Arabidopsis thaliana: one gene and its partners. The protein of the gene in region 1 interacts with the protein of each later gene in a pairwise test. Each region holds a gene or a part of one and is shown on either strand. Other genes may lie near its edges.

Region 1 (11,015 bases):
AAAGCAGAAGAGTGTAGAAGTGGTCCATTACAGAATTTAATTTCATTGAAAATTCTTCTTCTTTTTCTTTTCTTTTGATGTTTTGTGGTCCAATTTTGGAAGTGGACAAAGCCTAACTTTGAGTGTTAATAAGAGAAGCGGACACTTACGCCACTCTTATATTAGCAAGACATATGACATGTTTTATGTTACTCTGTACTATTGAGGCAATACTATTGTTGATTTAGTGTATTAATATTATTTTTTGTGTCGTCATCCAACTTTAGACCTAATAATCCATGTTATTAACACAAGTAAAAAGTGATTATATTACTATATATCCTAGTTCATCTGTGTTTATCTTTTATTCTTCTAAATATATACTCTAAGAACCTCAACAATTCAACGTTTCATTGTCAATAATCTACAAAAATGTGAATATGGCCACATTCTCACGTCTCCATCTCACTAATGTACAATTCAAAAGTATATAATAAGATAAAAAGCTTATAATACTACACTTATTTCGCTTATACATCTCATCAAAAGTTATATAAGAGAAAGGTTGGATGGGGACACATTTACAACATTATTTGATCAAGAATGAACTCTTGTTTCTGACAAAATATATATATTGCATGACTCACTGATTATGTATGACATATTTTTTTCTTTAATCTGTTATCCATCAATATTAAAATATTATATATGTATAACTAGTGTTAATACACAAATTATCCTAAATTTACAAAACTTTTTCAAAAAAATTACCCTAATTAAAATGAGAAGAAACTCATGAAACTTCAAAATAACATGGACATGGAACTCATTAAACTTTTACATGCTCACAACAATACATACTCAACATCACACTATATTAACGAGTAAGAGACACACATCAGTACGTCACTAAAAACATAAGCATCATAGCTGATTTAATTTATCTTTTATTTGTCCAAAGATATCCTTTAAAATATATATAAAATTAACGTTGTAAGAAACATGTAAAATAAAGTATTTTTATAGAAAGAAAGGAGACTTTTCACCAGTCATAACTCTATATTCTTTTGGCACAATAAGTAATGGTCACAACACAACAATGTCTTCACCAAAACCAAAGAACTAATTGAGTAAGAAGAAGAACCAAAGACTTGTTCAGCAATGTGGATAACCCCAATCTCTCTTTCTCAAGAGAGGCCAAATCACTCTTCTTTTCTCCGTTTTGTCTACTTTGAAACGTTTCTATCTTCTTTTTGTAGGATCGTTTGAACATTTCCCTTACTTTCTCTATTATTTGATATGATCATTTAGATTTCTTTTATATCATGGAGGGGACTACGATTTGTTTTCTCTATCTTTTTGGAGCAGAAGATCAGATTCTAATAAAATTTGATAAATGAGGTTTTTGTGTCTTGTACCGATATGACTTACACAATATCTTTAATTAACCAGTTTTATTGTTAATAACATGCATTATACAACTTTGAATATGGATTTTGAGACATTAACGATATGAGTGCATGCCATTATATGGTCAATCTTGAACCAATTAAAATTTGTTTTATATGTATATCTATTTTCACATAACATATTGTTTTACCAAAAAAAAATTTATTATCTGCTTTTGAAAGAAAACATAACCCAGTTATCTCTCTCAATAAATTTCATCCAACAACATTCCCCCCTCTCAATGCGTATATTTATTAAAAACTGGATAGTACATGATCGCGGTGAACATGAAAAACTCTATAGTATACATTAATATAATGGAACTGTTAGGGCGTATTAGACTTACTAAAAAATTATAAGATATAAGAAAAAGAAAAATCCTATGTAAGAAAATTCTCTCAAACAAAGGAACTGTTAGGGCGTATTAGACTTACTCTAATACGCTATAATGTGAATTACGAACAATAATCAAAGCAATAAGAGAAAGTAATTCACTATAGGAACAACTTTGGCATCGTTACAAAACAAAGTGAAAGATGAAGAGAAAACATCCTTTACGTTCCATCATTTTCATCCACAAACCTGACAAAAAGCTTCCTATGTTCTTTCTCTACTCTATCTTTATAATAAAATAAAGTATTTATGTTCTTTTAACTCAATGTTTTGATGTATATGTTGTCTATATTGTTAGGTTCCTTGTAATTTTCATCTATCACAAGCCAAGTAGTGTACAACAAAACAAATTAACAAAAGAAAGCATCATCATTATGAGCATCATCCTCGTATTAGATTCACTGTTTCTACAAACATCTTTTAGGAAAGAAAAAAAAAATTCCAACAAAACTGAATATCTTTATTTTGCTGAGATGACATTGTTTTGTCTTGTGTGTTAAGTTCTTGTGTTCAATATTGATAAATATAATCAAATGGCGATAGTTGACAAGTCACCAGGCCAGCGATCAAATACAATCTCTACGATCATCACATACTTATTCAAGGCTAGCTGCGTCTATATATTATAAAATTTTCATATAAGTTCCATATTAGTTTTTGTTTGTTTGATTGGCAAATGCACGGTTTTAATAATCTTGTTAGTCAATAAAGTTTAAAAATCAATCGCAAACCACTATAGATTAGTGTTTCCATAAAGAAGATTCATTGGCTTATGTATCAATGACTATTTAAAAAAAAAAAAAAATTGTAAACTAGACAAGATTTTTGCTAACAACCCCAATTATCATTAACTAATTAATTAATGATTTTGTTTCTGTCCCTAATATAGACAGCACAAGTTGTTGATTAAGATTCTTTGTACCACCCTACTCTTAGCTTTGGTCCTAGACAATCAATATAATTAAGTAGGTCCAAATCCAAGGCTTGTTTATGTGAATGTGAAATAAGAAATAATCGGTGATTTTTATTCAAAAAAGAAAAAATAATCGGTGGTGGTCGTTCAATCAGTAATCTCGAGGTCCGAAAGCACAATGCATATCACGAGTTCAAGATTTACTGGTGATTACAATTAACTTGGCACATTGTAATTACAAGATTTTTATATATATATTTCATGTTTCACTAACCATAAGGTAAGGAAATAAAAATAAAAATGAAGGAGTGATTAGTTGGAGCCGTAGGCCGTAGGGAACTTCGTCGTTTCTCGTAGAAAAGAGTGTAGGGACGACAAGAGTTGTTGTGAAATGGACGACTGTGATCGTTAATGTGACTCTCTTTGTCCAATCATGTGTTAGCTGATTCCACACGAAACATAGACCTTATCACACTGGAAGTTTACTTGACACATGTCTCTACTCTTTTATTCATCATCACTCAGACCTTACTGTTTGGATATTTTGGTGGATTCAACTTTGTCGTTTAGTCTCATTCATCGGCTCTCTCGCGTGTATCGCACGCAAATAGAACACTCAATGGCCAAATCTTGGAAGCAGTCAATGGCCACCAACCTTCAATAAATTACCACTAATCATTGGATAGTTCTAAGAAATGTCTACTTTCATATATTAATGCCAATTTTACCGGTTAAATTTTGACTTGACAACAAAAGATTTAACTTTTCTTATGAATACAAAATCAAAGAATAAATTTAAACTGAACAATTGGTATACGAGATAGAGAAACCAACTTCGATCAAAGTATGAGTAACGAAGCTTGATCAAAGTATGAGTAGGTTAAAGTTAAATTACTTTTAACAAGGTAGAGACAGGAGTGGTCGTGGATATAGGTTAGACTAGTCTAAGTGATGGAGCTTAATTAGACGGTTACGAATTGTTTTGCATCACATTCCTAATAAGTACATTAGATGGGTTTGATACAAATCGATGGATATTTATATTGTATTGCTTCCAATTCTCATATTAAAAACATTTGGAACCACATGCAAAAATTTATATGCTTGTAACATAAGTATATAATCTATTTATTTGTTTATTTTGTCAATGCTTAGTGATCAAATTAACAAAGTATAAGTATATGTATGTTTCTATAATATCTGAAATATTTATTCCTAGATAATATGTGTATGCCAAACATTTGATATCGTGTATCTGTAATCATGTTTTTTTAGCAGAAGTCATGAGTTCATACCAAAATTAATATGCAAATTTTATGTTTTTTCTGATGATGGGATTAAATTTGTCGTACTTTTTTGATAAGACAGCAACTATAAGCTTAAGTCAAATTTCTGAAATTGGTCCCCCACACCTCTAAATTTTTGAATCGTTTGTATTTTTTTTGTTACTAAATACAAAATAATGTAAAATTTAAATTTGTACGGCTGGATTCTCTTATCCGATCTATCGCATGCCAATTTCTTCAGGGACCACAATTAGAGGAAATCGTTATCACGACACGTGTCCTCCGATATTTTTGGCGCCGAGTAGTGACGTCATTATTAATGGTCCCCTCCTTCCTTGCTTTTTTCCCATTCGTCTACTCTCCTTTTTCTTTAACAAATTATCTTTTTTTTCCTCCGATATTCTTCAAAATTTGTTTTAAAATCCTTTGCAGATTTGTGTAATTTATTTACTTTTGCTTGGTACCAAAAACAAATAGAGCAAAAATGAGCAATTCTTTTTGATAAGCAGAAAAAAATGTTAGGAACGAATGAAGAAAAAGTGATGCAGCTATTTCCTTTTACTGTCACTTCGTAATTCGTATCATTCTTTTGCCGTCAACTTCTACCATCTCTTTTTTTTGTAAAACGATAAAACTTTTTGTTGTCGCTGTAAATGTTAGTAATCTGACCTAATCCCAATTTATTATGGATCACCAAAAAGCTGGTACTCTACAATTTAATAATAAAAGAAGAAGAATAAATATAGGAATAAATCGTCTTTTTTGGTGTAAGCTACATATAAAATTCAAACCGTCAAACACACATACACATCGAAACCCTTATATTTCATTTTCTTTCTGTTTTAGAGAAGAAAGTTTCTATAATTGATTGATAAATCTGAACATCAAAGCTAAGAATTTCTCTTCTTTTTTTCTTCTTAATTCATCTTTCCCTCTCCGAAACAGAAATTCAAAAACAAATTCAACACGAAAACGATGGCGTTTCATAACAATCACTTTAATCATTTCACCGACCAACAACAACATCAGCCTCCTCCTCCGCCGCAACAGCAGCAGCAACAACATTTTCAAGAATCAGCACCCCCTAATTGGCTCCTCCGCTCCGACAACAACTTCCTCAATCTCCACACAGCTGCCTCTGCCGCCGCTACAAGCTCCGATTCTCCTTCTTCCGCCGCCGCTAACCAGTGGCTCTCACGATCCTCATCCTTCCTCCAACGAGGCAACACCGCAAACAACAACAACAACGAAACATCCGGTGACGTCATCGAAGACGTTCCCGGCGGAGAGGAGTCAATGATCGGAGAGAAGAAGGAGGCGGAGAGGTGGCAGAATGCGAGACACAAGGCGGAGATACTGTCTCATCCACTATACGAGCAACTTTTGTCGGCACACGTGGCGTGCCTGAGGATCGCAACGCCGGTGGATCAGCTTCCGAGGATAGACGCACAGCTTGCTCAGTCTCAAAACGTCGTGGCTAAGTACTCAACTTTAGAAGCCGCTCAAGGACTCCTCGCCGGCGATGACAAGGAGCTTGACCACTTCATGGTAACTTAACTTCTCTTTCCTTCTTACCACTCTCAATTCCCATTATTTTATTCCTTTTCTTTTCTTTTGGAAAATAAAATCACTAAAAATTACTTTCATCTTTTATATTTAAAACGGTTTGACAAATTTGAATATTTTGTTGTTAATTATCTCCAAATTTATAAAAGTAAATTAGAGAAGAAAATCAAAAATTCTTTCTAGACTTGTACTTTGCACCGACAGACATGATCAGTGGGTTGGATAAATCGTCAGTTAAAAATTTGGATATTAGTTTTGCACAGTAGTAATTTGACAGCATAAGGTTTATTTTGAGATAGATTTTTGCTGAGTGTAAGTGATTGAGCAATTTCATTGATTGCAGTTACGGATACAGTGATCTGACAAAAACTAGTTTGTCACTTTCTGTATCTATATCCCATATTTTACTGTTCATGGACGTATTTGTATGATTGTATCTGTTGTCTGAAAGATATTTCCATGTTTTTGTGCAGACGCATTATGTACTATTGCTTTGCTCTTTCAAAGAACAACTGCAACAGCATGTTCGTGTTCATGCAATGGAAGCTGTTATGGCCTGTTGGGAGATTGAACAGTCGCTTCAAAGTTTTACAGGTTAGTTTTTAAGACTTCTACTAAATTATCAACTTTAATTTGTCATTTAGCTGTTATGGTAACTTTTGTATTTCACTATAGTATTGTAAAAGACACAAGGTTCTTTTATTTTATTTCTCATTTCAATGCTGTTTTTTATATTTAGTACCTACTTCTTGAGGTTTTAATTTAACACTTGTTTTGTTGAATGAGACAGGGGTATCTCCTGGTGAAGGCACAGGAGCAACAATGTCTGAGGATGAAGATGAGCAAGTAGAGAGTGATGCTCATTTGTTTGATGGAAGCTTAGATGGGTTAGGGTTTGGTCCTCTAGTTCCCACTGAGAGCGAGAGATCTTTGATGGAACGAGTCAGACAAGAACTCAAACATGAACTCAAGCAGGTAACTAGTGAAATATACTATATCCATCATTTACTACTACACATATATAAGATCAATGATAACAAATCCTTCACACCTTATTATATATCGTTGTAGCTAAAGTAAATATGCTTCTATTTAGTCCAATCAACCAAGAACTTGTCAAAACTTTATTTTTGATCTACAAAAAGACTCAAATGAATTTATGATTTTTAATTGTCTGAAGCTTGTTTGATGAGTTGTCAGTTTGCAACATCTACATAGTACTTACACGCACTTATATGCATGAAAATTGTGGTACACACTATATATAGTTAGCTTAACTAATGATATTGACCCATGTTTTTGTGAAAAGGGTTACAAGGAGAAAATTGTGGACATAAGAGAGGAGATACTGAGGAAGAGAAGAGCTGGAAAATTACCAGGAGACACCACCTCTGTTCTCAAATCATGGTGGCAATCTCATTCTAAGTGGCCTTACCCTACTGTGAGTTCCCTCTTTCTACTTCTTCAGTCACTCGCATGAACACGCCTCGTGGGTCTTTACCTAGTTCTGTCCCGAAAATCTTTGACTACATCATTTTTGCAACTTCATATGCTTTCTCAATCTCCTAAGTTTTAAATGAATCATGTAAATTTTGACAGGAGGAAGATAAGGCGAGGTTGGTGCAGGAGACGGGTTTGCAGCTCAAACAGATAAACAATTGGTTCATCAATCAAAGAAAGAGGAATTGGCATAGCAATCCATCTTCTTCTACCGTCTCAAAGAATAAACGCCGAAGGTACTTTGCACCAACATAACTTTATAGGAAGAGTATCCAAGAAAAGACAAAATATGATCACACGATAAGATACAATCTCTGAAATATATATATGTTAGGTGTGACAAAGTTTAGCTTGTTTATGTATGGTTAGATTAATGTTTAGTTACATTTTCAAGATATATGGAGTCATTAAATTTGGAGGGTTTTCTTTATGAAGCAATGCAGGTGAAAACAGCGGAAGAGACCGTTGAGATCAAGCTTGCATGTAGAGATCCAAAAGCTTTATAGAAAGGTGGAGGCATGAAGACAAAGAATTCTTACACAACAAACGTAGGACGTAATTTTGTGCCAGTACATGGTATGGCTTTCATATTTGGTAATGATTAGGGCCACACAAAATTAAACCCCAAAGCATGATTTGTAATATGAGGTTTTAGATGGACTTTATGATAGGATCGTCAGTCTTCACTGCCATCTCCATTCTCCACCATCAATCCATCATTATATCTTGTGAATAACATGGAAATTTCTCGTTATGCATTTAATTTGTGCAATCATTGGCCGTAATCTACACAAATATACATATTAATTTAGCTTGAATATATTATCTCAATTAATGGTTTCAATTTTTTTGTTTTGTTTTGTGAGTGGAACCACTTTTTATGTGGAATTGTTAACCCTAATGCCAAAATCTAAACTCTGCGAAGGTCGCCAGCAAACGAAAGAAAGAGATTATCTCCGCCGTTGTCAAAATTATTAAAAGGGATTATAAAGTTTTTCAATTTGGGCCCCTTTCCTGCGTTTTCTTTATTGTCCATTATGGGCCTCATTGTCTCTAGACTCTCTACCTTACAGGGTTTGCTCGCCGACGTTTCATACATAGTCCTCTTGTTTCTAAGGATGCCGATTAACACTTTTCATTTTTATCAACAAACTGGCTTGCAAGGGTTTTGAACCTGAGTGATGACCTACCATTTCTATCCATACTATAATCAGATTTTTTTTTGTTCTTTTTTATAATCAAGTTGGTGAAATAATTAACAACAATACTAGCACAAATCATTAACATAATGGTTCATACCTCATAGCCATATAAGATCATGAAAAAGTTATAGTTTTAGAAGTTTGTTTTTATTTTTAGTTAAAATTTAGTTTTTCCAATTAAGACCGAGTTATTAGTTAACAATGTAAAACTTAAGTAAATGCGATTTCTTTGGATTGGTTTGATTCGACTACAGTAAAACATAGGTCTTTGTTTTGTTTTAACCATAATAAAATCAATTGGATTATAAATAACTTTAGTTCTAATTCCGTTTACACATTTAGGTTTGCTTCAATTATAATCCTTCATGGAGATAGATAGCTAGATTAGTGGTGGTAATAATGTATGAGTTGAGAGAGTCTCTTTTTAGGTAGAATAAGATTGCACATGACGTGGCATTGTGAACGTTGTGGGGTTTTGTGATTGGTCTTGTCTTCTACTTACAAGACAGTCATATGAGAGGAGCATTTTAGAGCTGGCCCAATCATAAAAGACAGCTAGCTCTCTGTGACTCTGTGTTATCCGTTATGTTGCAGCAGCGACGAAAACAATTTGCTTCTTCTTCTTCTCTTTTGTCCTTATAGATAATACTTTTCTTTTCAAAATCAATTCACAATTGCTGAAGATATCAAAGATTCGTTATCTGAAAGTGACGCAGAAAAAGTACACAAAATAAAAGTGTTAGTGGGTAACTGGAGGATAGATAGAGAATATAAACAGAGAGGACGACAAAGAAGTTCAACATTCTCTCTAGTTTATCGCGCGCTTCTTTCTGTTACACGTTAGCCAATCTATGAGGAACATTTTCTGATTTTTTTATATGTAAGTATATTAGGATAATCATTGATACAAATATTCGATTCATCTGGTGTTTCTCTAAAAGATTAGGATATTTATGGGAGAAGAAGCTCTTCCTCGAACACCAATACGAGGAAATAACGTTCAATGAAGTTTGACATTACATCTTAATATTATATTTTAAGATATTTTTTAATATGCGATGAAGGAATTCATCTATGTAGTACGGTAACAATTGCAAGTTGAGGACGTCACGATTTCATTAGTTTTTATGGCATATCTATATTCGTCGTTGGGGACACGATGCAAGTATATTATTTTTTTTTGATAAAGCAAACTTTACAGTTGACAAAAAAAAATTACACCTTTACAATTTACAAAATATATGTTTAAAACATATCATAATACATTTGTTAATTAGAAACACTATGGATTTATATAGAAAATGTACTGGACTAATGGTGGATACAAATATCTAAAATGGAAACAATCAATGACGATGATTGATATTGAATGTTGTGACTCGATAGGAGATCAAGTCTAGAGATAGTTGTAAGGGAAAAAGTAGAAAAGAGTATAATACACTAAAAATGTATAGTAGACAAAACGAGCAAGATTTGAGGCATCAGAAGAGAAAGAGACATGTCGACCGGTGGCAAGTGGTAGGTATCACTATGTAACAACACAAACGTCAAAACATGTGAGAAAGCGTTTTTGCTTCGCTTTTCTTTTTCAATTTTCCCCACTTCACTTCACTTCACACAGTCACACTCTTATCCTCAGTATCTCCACTTCTTTTTTCAATGAAATGTTGTGGATAAATAATACGATAATTGGCATCCACTATCTTAAACCAGCTTTGTATGACTATGCCCGTGACAGCTTACCAGAATCTCTGTGTTTTGATTAATACTATTTCCAGACACTAAAGGTTCTTTTTTCCTAACCTAATTCATAATTAGTCGAAACGTAAAGATTGATTCTTCTAATTATTAATATTCATATATAATTCCAGTAGCTGAATCAGGTTCCTGTGTTCTATCTAAAAGTATACTATACAAATAAAAACCTTTTTCTTCTCGACATGAGTTTAATACTATATGAATATGACTACACAAATATTTTTATATTTTTTGAAAAAGATAAATATGTTGATGTTGTATACCCAAAAAATTGTGTTTTAGCTCCAAAAAAATACCAATGTCTTGCTTCAACGGTCTCAATGATCACGATCCATAAATCATAAATTTTATAAAGTTCAAACGTTTCTAGCTACAAGCTAGTTTCATATGATGCCGACACATTAATTCATAGCTTTCGTCTCTTGTCCTGTAATTAGTCTTAAATGCTTTATTTCACCCATATATAGCTTTTCACTTGACTCACGTTTCAACTCCGTTCTACCAACACTGATTTAATCCTCATCAGTTCAAAAATCTCCCTCACTCATCATTCTCTGCTATAGTTCTTGATGAATAAAAAACTCTAACCATCTCTTGTTCCATCTAAATACAATGTGGTAATTAATGAACGCTAAGATCAAATCAAGATTTGAAATGATGGAATCAAATATGCAATGATTAACCATCTATTAGATCCACACCATTATTTTAGGGTTTGTCCGTAACAGTTTATGAACAATTCAACAAAGCGCATAAAGTGAAATGGATTAAATTTGTAAGAAACATAGAAAATGTTTCTGCTTTTTATTTGCACACATCAATTTTACAAGTATATCAAATCAATATGGCGAGAGAGCATTTACATACACCTGACGTCATATTCTTACGTCATTTCTCCGGCGAACAGTTACATTCCACCGTCACACACAAGAAAACGAAAAGATATTTTTTTAAAGAATCTTTTTGTAA
Region 2 (5,854 bases), on another chromosome or scaffold:
TTGAATGTGACAGTGTCTTATGACAAGAGATATCTACAATGGAGTTTTATGTGAGTCTGATGTTCACACTCGAAAACTTTCACAAGTTGAAGAATCATGTGATTTTGTATCTTGATGTCAATGTTTCCCATTCATGGAGCTTTTGTCGACAAGTTTTGACATGTCCCTACAATATAGCAACAACACTTGTGTGACATAGATATTGAAAGAGAGATAGATATACCCATTCGCATTTTTATAAGATTCCTCTTGTGATAAATCCAATGAAACTATATGATGATTTCAAAATAATACAAAAATAGAAATTGATCTCAATGTACCTTCCAAAGAAAAATGACAACGTGTGGGGCTAAAAATTGCTGTACCATCATATCTGACACCTTGATTCCATTTTTTTTTTATACACCAAACAATGAGTAGAGCATAAAGGCCTTTCGTATTACAAGCATTTATTACTTACCATATTTAAAATAAAAAAACTTACCATATTATTGTCGATCTAGTATATATATATATATAGATCGATATTTCTACGTATAAATAGGGCGATGTTGTGTGACATGTCTCTCAGTCACCACTTTTGGCGGGTTCTCGTCGACAGAGATTGATCAAATCTAATTATTATTGTTGATGATAGAAAGTTGTCATGCATAGATTTCTCAAGCGAGAATATTCATTAATATAGGATTCTCATTTTTTAATTCTTCGCTCTGAAGTTGTAACCTAGTAGCTTGTACTAGGTACATGCCATGTTGTAACATTGGTTAGATATTTGTAAATTTTAGAGGCTTTAAATGCAAAAGATTATATTCGGACTACTCGATCATAAATTTTGGTCTAGTAATCTGCTTGAACATTGATTTTGCGGAGCAATTCTTGATGAGAAGCAATTTTATGATTTTATCCCAAAACTAATCGCGACATGATCATTCGGTGAATTTGTTGCTAGGAGAAACAATGGTCTAAGATAAACTGAAAAAGGGAAGAGAACAAATATTAGTTAAGATTGATCAATGAGAAGTGAAGTGAGTCAGTGTACTTTGCACAAACATCGATCTTTCGTCTTTGAGTCATGAGATGGCCAGTTTAGGTTAGTCCAAACATTGCCTCCTCGTGAGTTCTTGCTGTATATATTTGCAAGGACAATAATTCCTCTTATTTGGCGTTAATTTATTTATTATGTCTAGAGTTCGTAAATGAATTGAAGAAAATTATTTACTAAACAATAAAGGTTTTGCTCTCCCCGCAGAATTTTTGCCTATGACATTAAGAAAAAAAAAGCGTGAAAATATAAAGATAAACAGTACAATTTTGGATTATATTGTTGAAGTTTACTCATATAATTTGTATATGTTGATAATGGAGAAAACATATAAATATTTGCATGTCCGTATATAACCTTATTTCCCTTCTATCAAATCTAAGAAAAAAAACAAATACTTTACGCGTAGGCGCTTTTTCATGTTTAAAGTTTCGATTACCATCAAGATTTGCTTTTTGAGTCATTTTACCTTATACTATATACGACAAAAACTCGTAAATTACCCTCTTATTGTATTTAATTAATTGAAATTTCTAATTCACATTTAAGATATTAATATTTTAATTTATTTTATCAAGATTGTATATTAATAATAAAATAGAAATTTTCATTGTCAACAATAAATATGAATTTTATATCAAATATGTTAAAAATTTAGTTTTAAGTGATATATAACCATTTTCAAGAAAACAAATCTATAAAAAAAAAAGTGTATGAATTACTGAAAGTTGGTATAACTTAAAACCTTCAAACGAACAGACAAAAAACTAAGATGACCGTTAATAATAAGATACTTTTGTAGATCTGTATATTATACAAACAAAATAAGTAAAAATAAGAATTAAAATTATTTTGGTCTTAAGATTCACAGCAAAGCACGATGCATTGTGTAAATATAATACATTATACAAATACATGGTGGTACGTATATAATATAAATATTTGTACATATAAATACAAGCATGATACAATAATAGTATCAAAACAAATTAAGACAACCTAGCTAAATCCACATGCTCAATACATATTCTCTCACTCTCTTTCTCACAAAAACAAAAACAATGCCAAGAGTCATGTGGAAAAACTTCCATCTTTGCTTCCCATCAAATCTCACCAAGCCCTCTTCATCTCCGTCCGGTGCCACCTCCGACGATCCCAACCGTCCATCCATTCTTCTCATCAACAACTTTAACCTCCTATATGACGACTCCTCCGCCGCCCACCGCCGCCTATCCAAGCCTCTTATCCACGACGTTGAACCCTCTTCCACCTTCACCGCCTCCACCTCCACCGCAGCTAACTCTTCTTCCTCCTCTGCCTCTTATGATGATTCCGATAATTACGGTTTTGCCCCTGACGACGACTCTCCCCCTCCTGACTTAACCGCCGTTTTAGCCTCCCGCCGCTTCTTCTTCTCTTCTCCTGGCTGCTCAAACTCAATCACTGACTCGCCAGATCTCCGCTGCCGGGATAATTACGATACTGCCACTAGGCTTCTTACCGGAGGAACCGCCGTGAAACACTACGTGCAATCTCCTGATCCGTACAACGACTTCCGACGATCAATGCAGGAGATGATCGACGCCGTTACAAACGCCGGAGATCTTCGCCGTTACGAGTTCTTGCATGAGCTGTTACTCAGTTACCTCTCTTTAAATGCCGCCGATACACACAAGTTCATTATCAGAGCTTTCGCCGACATTCTCGTCTCTCTCCTATCGGACGGTCACCGGATCAGCTGAGCTGACGTGGCATATATATATTTATTCTCTCTTCATGTTATGTAAAAAGTAACACATGTTATTTATTTTTGTAATGCGTTACTTAGGACAAATAATCAGAACTAAAGTTAATGTAATTATTTTGTAATGATACGATTGAGAAAGTCGAGAGAGGCGTGGGTTTTTGTCTCGATCGCATGCAGTTAGATTCTTCTTTTAATTTGTTTCTATTTTTGTCTTTTTACCCTTTTAAATTAAATAAATTAAATGTTCTGGAGTATATATGGTGAAACTTAAATCATTGATTGGGAAGTTATAGTTCAATTTAACATATTGATGATAAAAAATAGACTTAATTTATACTTTCCGAAATGCATCTCTAGAAGTATATATTAAGAGACGGAAACCCATGGCTTCATTATAAACTTAAAAGTGAAAATTTATTTTGGTTTAAATCATTAAATACACGAACGAAACTTATGAGTTGAAGAAAATTTGTAATGGGTAAAAGCTGAATTGTGATAACTAACAACATTACAATTTTGCTGATTAATTACCAACAAAATAATAATTGTCTAATTGGTATGATGTATGATTGTTAAAAGTTTGTCTTTTGGAGAAACTACCAAGAAAACGCTCGGATTAGTGCCATGACAAACAATGAAAAAGCTACGTCGACTGACAATTGGTACTATTTCTTCTTCTTTCGTAACGTCTCAAATTATGTTTGACATGTATATCGAAGATTGACTTTCTTCTGCTTTTCTTGATGTTCTCACTTTACATCCATATCAAAACAAATTATTTAATCGAAAAACTGTATATGATAAAATTTACATCGATTTATATAGTTTTATTCAGATATTTTAGCCAATGCCATGATTTCTTTTATACGTTGGGGTTTATGCTATTTGGCCAAGATTCATATAGCGTATTAGTTATCTAAAACGCAAGAAGCGCATTAAAATATTGCCAAGTTAGGGAATGGTGCATGATAGACTAAATATATTAACAATAGGTATTCAAATTTAGCTAATGTTGAGATCTATTGTTGTAGGTGATTCTTTCCATGAGATATTTCACATAACACAAGGTGAGACAAAAACAAAATAGGAGAATCCTAAGAGACGGATGTTGGCCGAAGCCTCAACCAATATTATAACAAAGCTATTTTCATCATTAATATTATATATAACATTTTGCTCACATCCCTGATTCATATTCGCAGGACACGACCAACAACAATAAATAGTGTATGAAATAGGGACTGAGACAGTTAATCATTTACTACACTAGAGATTAGAAATCTCAAGGTTTTCAGATAGATATTAAAACAGGCCTTTGATTGCTTCTTCACTCACCATGGCAGCAGCATTCTCCGGATAAGAATCAAGGAGAGCTTCAACATTGGGGATTAAACCGCCTCATCGTCTTTGTCCACGGCTACAATATCATTGGGGGTAATAAAGCGTTGAAGCTGCTTGAAAAATAAACTGACACACAGAGATAGAGAGAGATAGAGGAACACGGTCGCCAAATCGTTTCGATCGCAAATACAACTCTTTCAGTATCATAGATAATTGTGGCCAAATATATAACTTTTGGGTTCTACGCAAAGAGTTAGATGAATTTTAAGGAAACAGTGAGAGATAAAGAACGAGAAATTTACGTAAGAGAAATAATAAGCAGAGTTGGTTGGATGATCTCGATAATCGACTAGGGGTTTCTAAATCACTTATTGAATACATACGCCGATGTTTCCCGCCCGCAAAGAAATTTATATTATTAGGTGGGGCTGAGAATGGGCTTCGCTTTAATGCGCTTAGATTTAAAGGCCTTTGCAGTTTCTATGAATCGGCCTTCTCTGTGCACCAATCCTACTTTTTTTGTTTTTTTGTTTTTTTTGGGGGGCATAATCCTACCTTTTTAATTTTTAAATACCAGTTATACTGAAAATTTGGTTATTTTATACCCAAAATAATAATATAACTAGATTTATTATTGTTGTCGATTTTATTATTTTTTTCATAATTCATTGTTGATTTGTTGGGTAATTATTTAATTTGTTTTTAAGTTTGGTTAAATTATAAATATATGGATTAAGTTGCAAATACATGTTGTTATGTAGTTGCAAATATGTGGGATAAATGATAAAGTTTTATTATCGAATTGCTAATATTTAAAAGTATCAAAACTTATTTAAAACCATCTCAATATATGATCTTAACAACTCCATTTAACTACTCACAATATTAACTTTGTGTTGATTAAAAAATGTAAGTAACCTATAAATAGAGAATATAATTTTTTAAACAAAAGATTAAGATTTTAACAATGGATATTTTGTACGTATAATGTAAACTTTTTATTCTTGTTTTCGATGAACAACGTTTACCGATTAAAGAAGTAAACACAAAGTAAACTATTGAAGATCGTACATGGGTTCTCCTTAAAAATTCTTAAAAATAACTATCTGAATGTCGAGTTTATCGTTGCTCCTTACGAGGTTAATGCACAACTTGTATATTTGGCGAATAATAAAGATAAAGACATTTGTATGTGGTTCTCATTACTGATACTTACCTCGTACCATTTAGATGTCCAAGAGTAAGTTCTCTAATACACTTATCAATTATTATTTTTAATAGCTTGAAAATAAATTTAATGGTCAAAAGATACCTATAATATATTTTTAACTGAAAAATAAAGAGAAATTTATGAAATCTGTTAGTTTTATGTTTTTAATAAGCAAAATAAAATATTTTAATAAGCAAAATAAAAGATTTATGTTTTAAATTATCTAAAAGGTTTTTTTTTTTTTGTAGTTTAAAAAGTAGTACAAAAAGTGTTATGATTCGTCATTAATCATTCCCAAGTACTCTTATTCCTCGATAATTGTTCTTCAATCTCAAATTTACATAAACAATTGAAAGAAATTTATGGATTTATTAATTATATAGCGATTCATATTCAAATTTAACAATAATTTTGGTATTTATTTCTCGTAATTGATACTGCGGTTTCAATCCTAATTTATCCAAACTAAAAACTCTCTTATTTGGTCTTTTTGTACTTCTCTTCCTTTTTTTTT
Region 3 (6,522 bases), on another chromosome or scaffold:
TATAAAGATTCTTACAGATGATTAACCATTCTCAGAATACAGATTTAACACTCATCGCTGGCTAAATCAGGCATCTTCAGTGGGAAACTGCTTCTCCACATCCGCGACTGTCTTCTTTGCATCTTCGATCTCTGGACCTTCCTTCTCATCCGTCTCTTCCAATTCCGCCTGCAAATTCAGTTTTCATTAGAGACAAAAGACAGAGTACGAATTCACAGTTTCCTCTGTGTCCTTATTCATCATTTTTCCTCAAAGAGAGACTAAGATGGTTTCATGCAGGGGATTAATCCAATCGCTATAGATACATATAAAAGTTATAGTTTGATAATGTACTACTGCTCTTAAACTTCAAATCACCGCTCAGCGTTTCTTATAAACTAATACATAAAGCTAGACCGACGCTTAGCAAGCAATAACAATGGAAAATGTAGTTTACCAAAGTGGACTTGAGGTCAGCCAATGCAGACTCGAGACGTTTGTGGCAATCCGGAATCATCATCCTAGACTCACCCAACACATTTTCCTGCATCACCACATACACAGATTAGGAAAAACCAAGTCTAAACACAGCACAACACAGCATTTCTAGATTCTGACGAACAAAGACGGGCTCCGAATCTTCGAATACAGAGAGATAAACAATGAAATCTGTACCTGTTGTTTAAGGTCGTAGGGATCAGCACCTTTGTCCTTCATATCAGCAGTCTTAGCCGCTTCTCTCTCAACTTCTTTCTCATAAGAGTGAAGCTCTTTCACAATCCTTTTACATGTTGATGTTTTTATCTTCAAGTTCCTTATCGTTGCCATTGGATTCTGAGCAAGTACCAAACACAGGACAACCAAAATTAGGGTTTCTACATCACCAGCGAAACAACTCAAACGCAACGATTCTATAACTAGGTTTTGCGATCTCCTTTAAACTTCGATGTCGAATTTGAAATTGAAATAGGGCGATTAGATCAAGACTAATGTAGGTGATAATTCTACGATTCGTGCATTGCAATAGATCGGGAACATTTTGGAATTCATCGATTTCTTTTACTTGATTCCGATCTACATTGAGATCGACACAAAGCTAGATTCGATTGAAAATTAAAGGAAGATATACTGTGAAATAGAAGAAGTAGGGTTTAGAAACGAACCAGGCGATGATGGGAGAAGAAGGTTGCTTCCGATGAATTTGAGAGAGAGGACGCGGCGTAGAGCGAGGAGGAATCGAAGAACAACAATATACAGTTTCCGATTTCGATTTCTTCTTTTTCCTTTGCTTTCAATTCTGAATTATTAAAAAAAAAACTTAATACTGGATATGCACTCACTTGTGTGCTCGCATTACGACATAAAAATGTAATTTGAGTTTTATTTCATTTCTTTGACAAAAAAAAAAAAAAAAGTTTTATTTCATTTATTTACCCTTTTTTATAGATATAAAATATGTAAATCAAACTTTTATATCGTACAATTTAAGTATATATTTTGTGTTTTATTATGTCAAGTTCATTCATTAATTTTAAATTTGATACAACAAAAGAATAATGTAGAAAGTCAAGTATACAATGATGGATGAATGGATTTACATAATGCTTTTTTGGTACGTAAACGTTAGTATTTGCTAACAAAGTATTAGTTGCGTTATTTTTTTCAGAACAATCAATCCTAATTTTAAATATTTTTATTAAAAACACTATGATACATATTAATTTACATTATAATTTGTTATTGAAAATAAAAACGGAGCAATTTTGTCATAGGTTTTTTTTTTGTCAACCACACAAAAATGGTTTACAAATTACAATGTAACTTTAAAAAATGGTATACAACTACACTAACAACCATAGGTCACAAGAAACCACACTTGCTATTTTTTCTAGATCCAAATTTCACAATTTAAAACCACACAAATTTTCTAGAAGGAATCAATATTTGGAATGCCATTTAATAAAACTTTAACTGTTATTTTTAAATATATTGAATTTAAAACGAACTTTGAATGTTTGTGTAGTTTTAGACGAACAACTAATTTGTCAAGTTAGCTAGGTGATCAAGATAGAAAAAAGTTCGTGTGAATCATATTTTGTTCATGAAAATTTGGTGTAGTTTATGGTTATGAGGTTATCTCATATCTATGTATAAAATTAGAATGTAGAATTTTGTCTGACATACTTGTTTAAAACTTAAAATTATGATACATATATCACCTATTCTTTTTAATTCTTAACTTTATAATCCAAAACTGCAAGATCATTTAGGCCCATTGATTTGAATATTTGTTGCTTATGTTCACTCAGAAGTCAGAAACCATACCATATCACATGTCTTTTGCTGAAACTTCATAAGCCAACTGTGGTAGGGGATGGAATTTGCAACAGTGGTCCTCTTCTTCTTCTTCATGAGTTCATTCTTCCCTTCTTCACAGAAAAAAAAAAACCCTTAAGGATTAAATCTCATCACTGTTTCTTTCTTCTTTAATCACATCTCAGTTTTATGTGTCAGTGGTCCTCTCTCTACCTTCAACGATTATCCAATGTTCTTCATGCATATATATAAACTCCGTACTTGTTGCGTTTTCAAATTGTTCATGTCTCTTCACTGTTGTCTTTTTCTTGTTGCTGTTTACCGCCATTTTCAACTTTGTATTTTCAAAATATTCAAATGATATTGGCGCAATTAATCCATCTTCATATTCTAAGAAATAATCAAATCTTGAAGCATCATCTTTTGTGAGTAGTTTTATATGTTCATAATCATAGAGAAGACAAGAATATGTTTAATTAGTGATAAAAAAATCTGTCTTAATTAACAGTGTTTTCACGCCCTTAGTGATCATGTTTGTATTAAAACGACAATATGATAACAACTTTTATTATTTGCTTACATTTTCCAAAAAGATAAATAAAGAAAACAATACATAAAAAGTGGGATTCAAAGAGAGAATCTCCACAGTTCCATCTAACTTCTTATGAACATCAACAACAAGTCAACAACTACAATTTCACAAGCAGAATGATACTAATTACTTTCACCATTAGGTTAACTACTATTACATTAAGAATTATTTTTTTCTTTACTTTGTTTTTGTAAGTTGAAGCCAGATTTGTTCGAAAACATGGATGATAAGATCATGATACTCCTTTGGATTCAAAGTAAGGTAGCAAGCAAGAAGGTCTTCCAAGTCTTTCGAAGCTCTGATGTTGTTCTCTTCTATCATCTCAATCATTGATTCCCTGAAATCTTTCTTTGGATCAACGGACCGCTTCATCACAGCGAAGCTCTCTAGAACATCTTGTTTGCTCTCTGATCTTCTAGAAGTGCTTCTACGAGTACCTGAGAGTTGAATTCTAGGTGAATTCACTCTTTTGAGGTTTATCCCAGCAGATGGTTTTCTTCCACTAGAAACTTGCCTTTGGTACTTCTTCTCGGCTTTATATTCATTATCATCTTCATCTCTTGAAATTTTCACAGAAAGATGGCTTTTCTGCGGTTTCTTAATCGGCTTGCTTGCAGTACAAGCTTTCTCTACCGAATCAATCACTTTGACCTTCTGCTTGGTGAAAGCTTTGTTCTTTGTGTTGATCTTGAAGTTGGAAAATTCAACGAACTCATCATCATCATCCTCTTCGTAGAAACTATACACAAAAGACTCAGGGGAGGTTTCAATAGCCGGGAACAAGCTGTAAGACGAATCTTGATCGTTGATCTTGCTCTTGTTGAAACTTGCAGATACAAGAAGAGGAGGAGGAGTCAAAGGTTTAAGGGATGGCTTGTAAAGTGTCTTTCTTTTACTCATCTTTTTTGTGTGAAGAGAGTTTCTTGGTGAGTTATGGTGAGGAGGATTGTTAGCTACTAAGCTGTTGGAGAAATAAGAGTGTTGAGGAAGAGAATCTGAGGAAGGTTTCTTCTTGCTACAAGTGTTTGAGGAAGAAGAAGAAGCTTTGTTTTTGGGTTTAGAGTGTTTAGTCACGTCTTTGAGCTTGTGGAACCATGCATTTGGGAGCATCTCTGAAATTCTGAACTTGTAATTCCCCATCTTGTCTCTCTCTTTTTCACAAAAGTTTGTGATATTTCTCTTAAGAAAACTCTGTTTTTGTTTCCTTAGATAAAGAAGAAGGTGAGAAAGCAAAGTTCTCTATGTGACAGATAAAGAAGAAACTGAAGATTAAAATTGGAAACTAGTGGGGCTACTACTAGAAAAAGCTTAAAGAATGTCTTTTATTAGTATCATCATCATTCATCATCAACATCAACTTGAGACATCACATTTACACGCTTGTGCTCACATAATTAATAAATTTATTTTATGGTGAATTTTTAAAATTGGTTGACTAATTGAAATTGTATTTGGTGAAAAACTGAAAATCATAAGAACATAACTTTTATCTAAAATATTATATAATTAAGGGAATAGTACAAAAATAATTATAAAACAGAGAATCAGTTGCTTCTGATTTCTGACAGATTTCTATCATCATTTCATGGAGATTTTACTCTTCATCGAAATGATAAAATAACTGAAAAATGTAATTAGCGAATTATAAAACAGTAGCAAATGTAAACAGTTTTAAAGAATACACAAAAAGGTTGACCAAATGGCAATTACAAAAGAAAAATACAGCTTCTTTTCCTCGAAGTATGCTTTTTGATTGAAAATATTAAAACGTTTCTAAACGGACAAATCAATTTAATAAATAAAAACAAAGTTTTCACAATTCAACTAAAAGTTTAACATATGTGAATCTATCTAGGTTAAAGACTCAAAGTACACGTTATAATGAAGTTCAATAGTTTCATTTCGATGCTTCTTTGAATTTGGTAAAGTGTGAACCTTATCTTAAGTTTTTAGGTAGAAATAATTTAGTATAGTAGCACTTTATGTTATATTAAGGTGATACAGATACACAAATGATGAAATTAAGATAATCAAATATGTTCCATTTTCTCCTCTGAATAAAGTGGGATCAACTTTTGAGTCATAATAATGAATATGAGAAATTTTTTGGTCTACTTTGTCCACTAACGCCGAACATTTTGAGGACACTTTTTTTCTTCTTCTATACATTTCCACTTTCCAGATCAAATGTTTTGGCAACTACTTATCTTTTAACTTCGAGAAGGAAAAAAATGATATTCAAAAATCAAAATAAAACATTTTCCATCCTTACTTTAAATAAGCACAAGTGATTATTCATATTTAAAAAATGGAGATATTTTCACTAGACGTGGGACTGGTTTATGTTCAACAATGTTGACCTACCAATATATCAACGACTTTTTGAGTATACAAAAACAAAACTATCTCATCATATTGGATTTTGTTTATAAGCAAGAGCCACCAAACATTTGCAATAAGAAAACCTTTTCTATTCTCCATTGTTTTTAAAAACTTCATGGGACTCCACCATCATGATCAGTTTCACACCCAAAGACGTGAACTCCACGCAACACAAGCCAATCCTCTAACCTTATACACACCAAAACAAAACAAGAAGCCAAAGAGGATCACAACAACAACATCATCACCAAAAAAGCTTCAAGACAATGAGAGTGAAAGCAACTTTGATTAACTTCAAATCAAAGCTTTCGAAATCATGCAACAGATTTGTCTCTCTCTTCCGCTTCCGAGTTAAAAGACCTGTCTTTATTAGACCTCTTCGTGCCCGTCATGGCAATGTCAAACCTAGACATCAACATCATCATTCCAAGAAGCCAATCTGTTCTTGTCTCTGTTTCCTCAATTCAAGCAAGAACCATAAGATGAGCAACGCCAAACATAGAAGTTCCTCTTGTAAGACAACTTCGCTACAAAATCTGTTTTAACATTGAAATTTTATCAGCTTCTTGATCTCTTTGTTCTCTTATTTTGCCATTGCAGTTAGTGTGAACGATGATGATTACTCCAAGTTTATGCAATCACCTCTTACGCCAGCAACAGCCAAGAAGCTCTTCACTTCACCCATCACGACACCTTACTCTTCACGGACCAGGAAATCGCTGAACGCAAGAGATACATTTGAAGACAATGCTGTGGAAGATGCTTGTAGAAGCTTTGAAAACTATCTGATTCATCTGATTGTTGAAGAAGGGAAAATAGATGACTTAATGGACATAGAGGAACTTCTCTTCTGTTGGAAGAATCTTAAGAGTCCTGTCTTCATTGAACTTGTCTCAAGATTTTATGGAGAACTCTGTAGAGACTTGTTTTCAGGTGAATGAACAGATCTAGTTAAATTGATCAAAACAAAAATGTTTTAAATCTGTATCTGTCAGTACTTGTGGTTTGACAATTATTGAATACAACATCTAAGGTTTCTAAGTTTAAAGTTGGGAACAATGTGTGAAGACTATAAAAGATTGTATGTTTCGGTCAATACCGGTCGGACCGGTTCAACCGGATTTACTTACCAAACTCGTCTCTTGCAATTTTATTGTTGAATAAAAAAATTATCACAACTGTGTGGACACGTGTGGTTCTCCGTCCTCACTCCTCAAGCCCCTTTCATTTTATCCCAACTGTGTCTGGTCTGA

Evidence for each region. The genes of interacting proteins can lie anywhere in the genome.
Region 2: the proteins of KNAT4 (region 1) and OFP12 interact in a two-hybrid assay, tested with the Arabidopsis thaliana proteins (one large-scale study listed by BioGRID).
Region 3: the proteins of KNAT4 (region 1) and OFP2 interact in a two-hybrid assay, tested with the Arabidopsis thaliana proteins (one large-scale study listed by BioGRID).

The regions. Positions count from the first base shown.
Region 1 is NC_003076.8:3,505,413-3,516,427, forward strand, and holds KNAT4 (homeobox protein knotted-1-like 4), read left to right. Parts: upstream 1-4,420; 5' UTR 4,421-4,995; coding exon 4,996-5,568; intron 5,569-6,059; coding exon 6,060-6,180; intron 6,181-6,376; coding exon 6,377-6,561; intron 6,562-6,895; coding exon 6,896-7,027; intron 7,028-7,185; coding exon 7,186-7,322; intron 7,323-7,521; coding exon 7,522-7,555; 3' UTR 7,556-8,329; downstream 8,330-11,015.
Region 2 is NC_003070.9:1,587,970-1,593,823, forward strand, and holds OFP12 (ovate family protein 12), read left to right. Parts: upstream 1-2,003; 5' UTR 2,004-2,055; coding exon 2,056-2,784; 3' UTR 2,785-3,043; downstream 3,044-5,854. UniProt on the Arabidopsis thaliana protein: Transcriptional repressor that regulates multiple aspects of plant growth and development through the regulation of BEL1-LIKE (BLH) and KNOX TALE (KNAT) homeodomain transcription factors.
Region 3 is NC_003071.7:12,954,097-12,960,618, reverse strand, and holds OFP2 (ovate family protein 2), read right to left. Parts: upstream 4,175-6,522; 5' UTR 4,028-4,174; coding exon 3,065-4,027; 3' UTR 2,812-3,064; downstream 1-2,811. Other genes in the region: KIS (tubulin folding cofactor A (KIESEL)), read right to left, coding at 67-168, 437-523, 655-807; OFP17 (ovate family protein 17), read left to right, coding at 5,536-5,782, 5,870-6,210.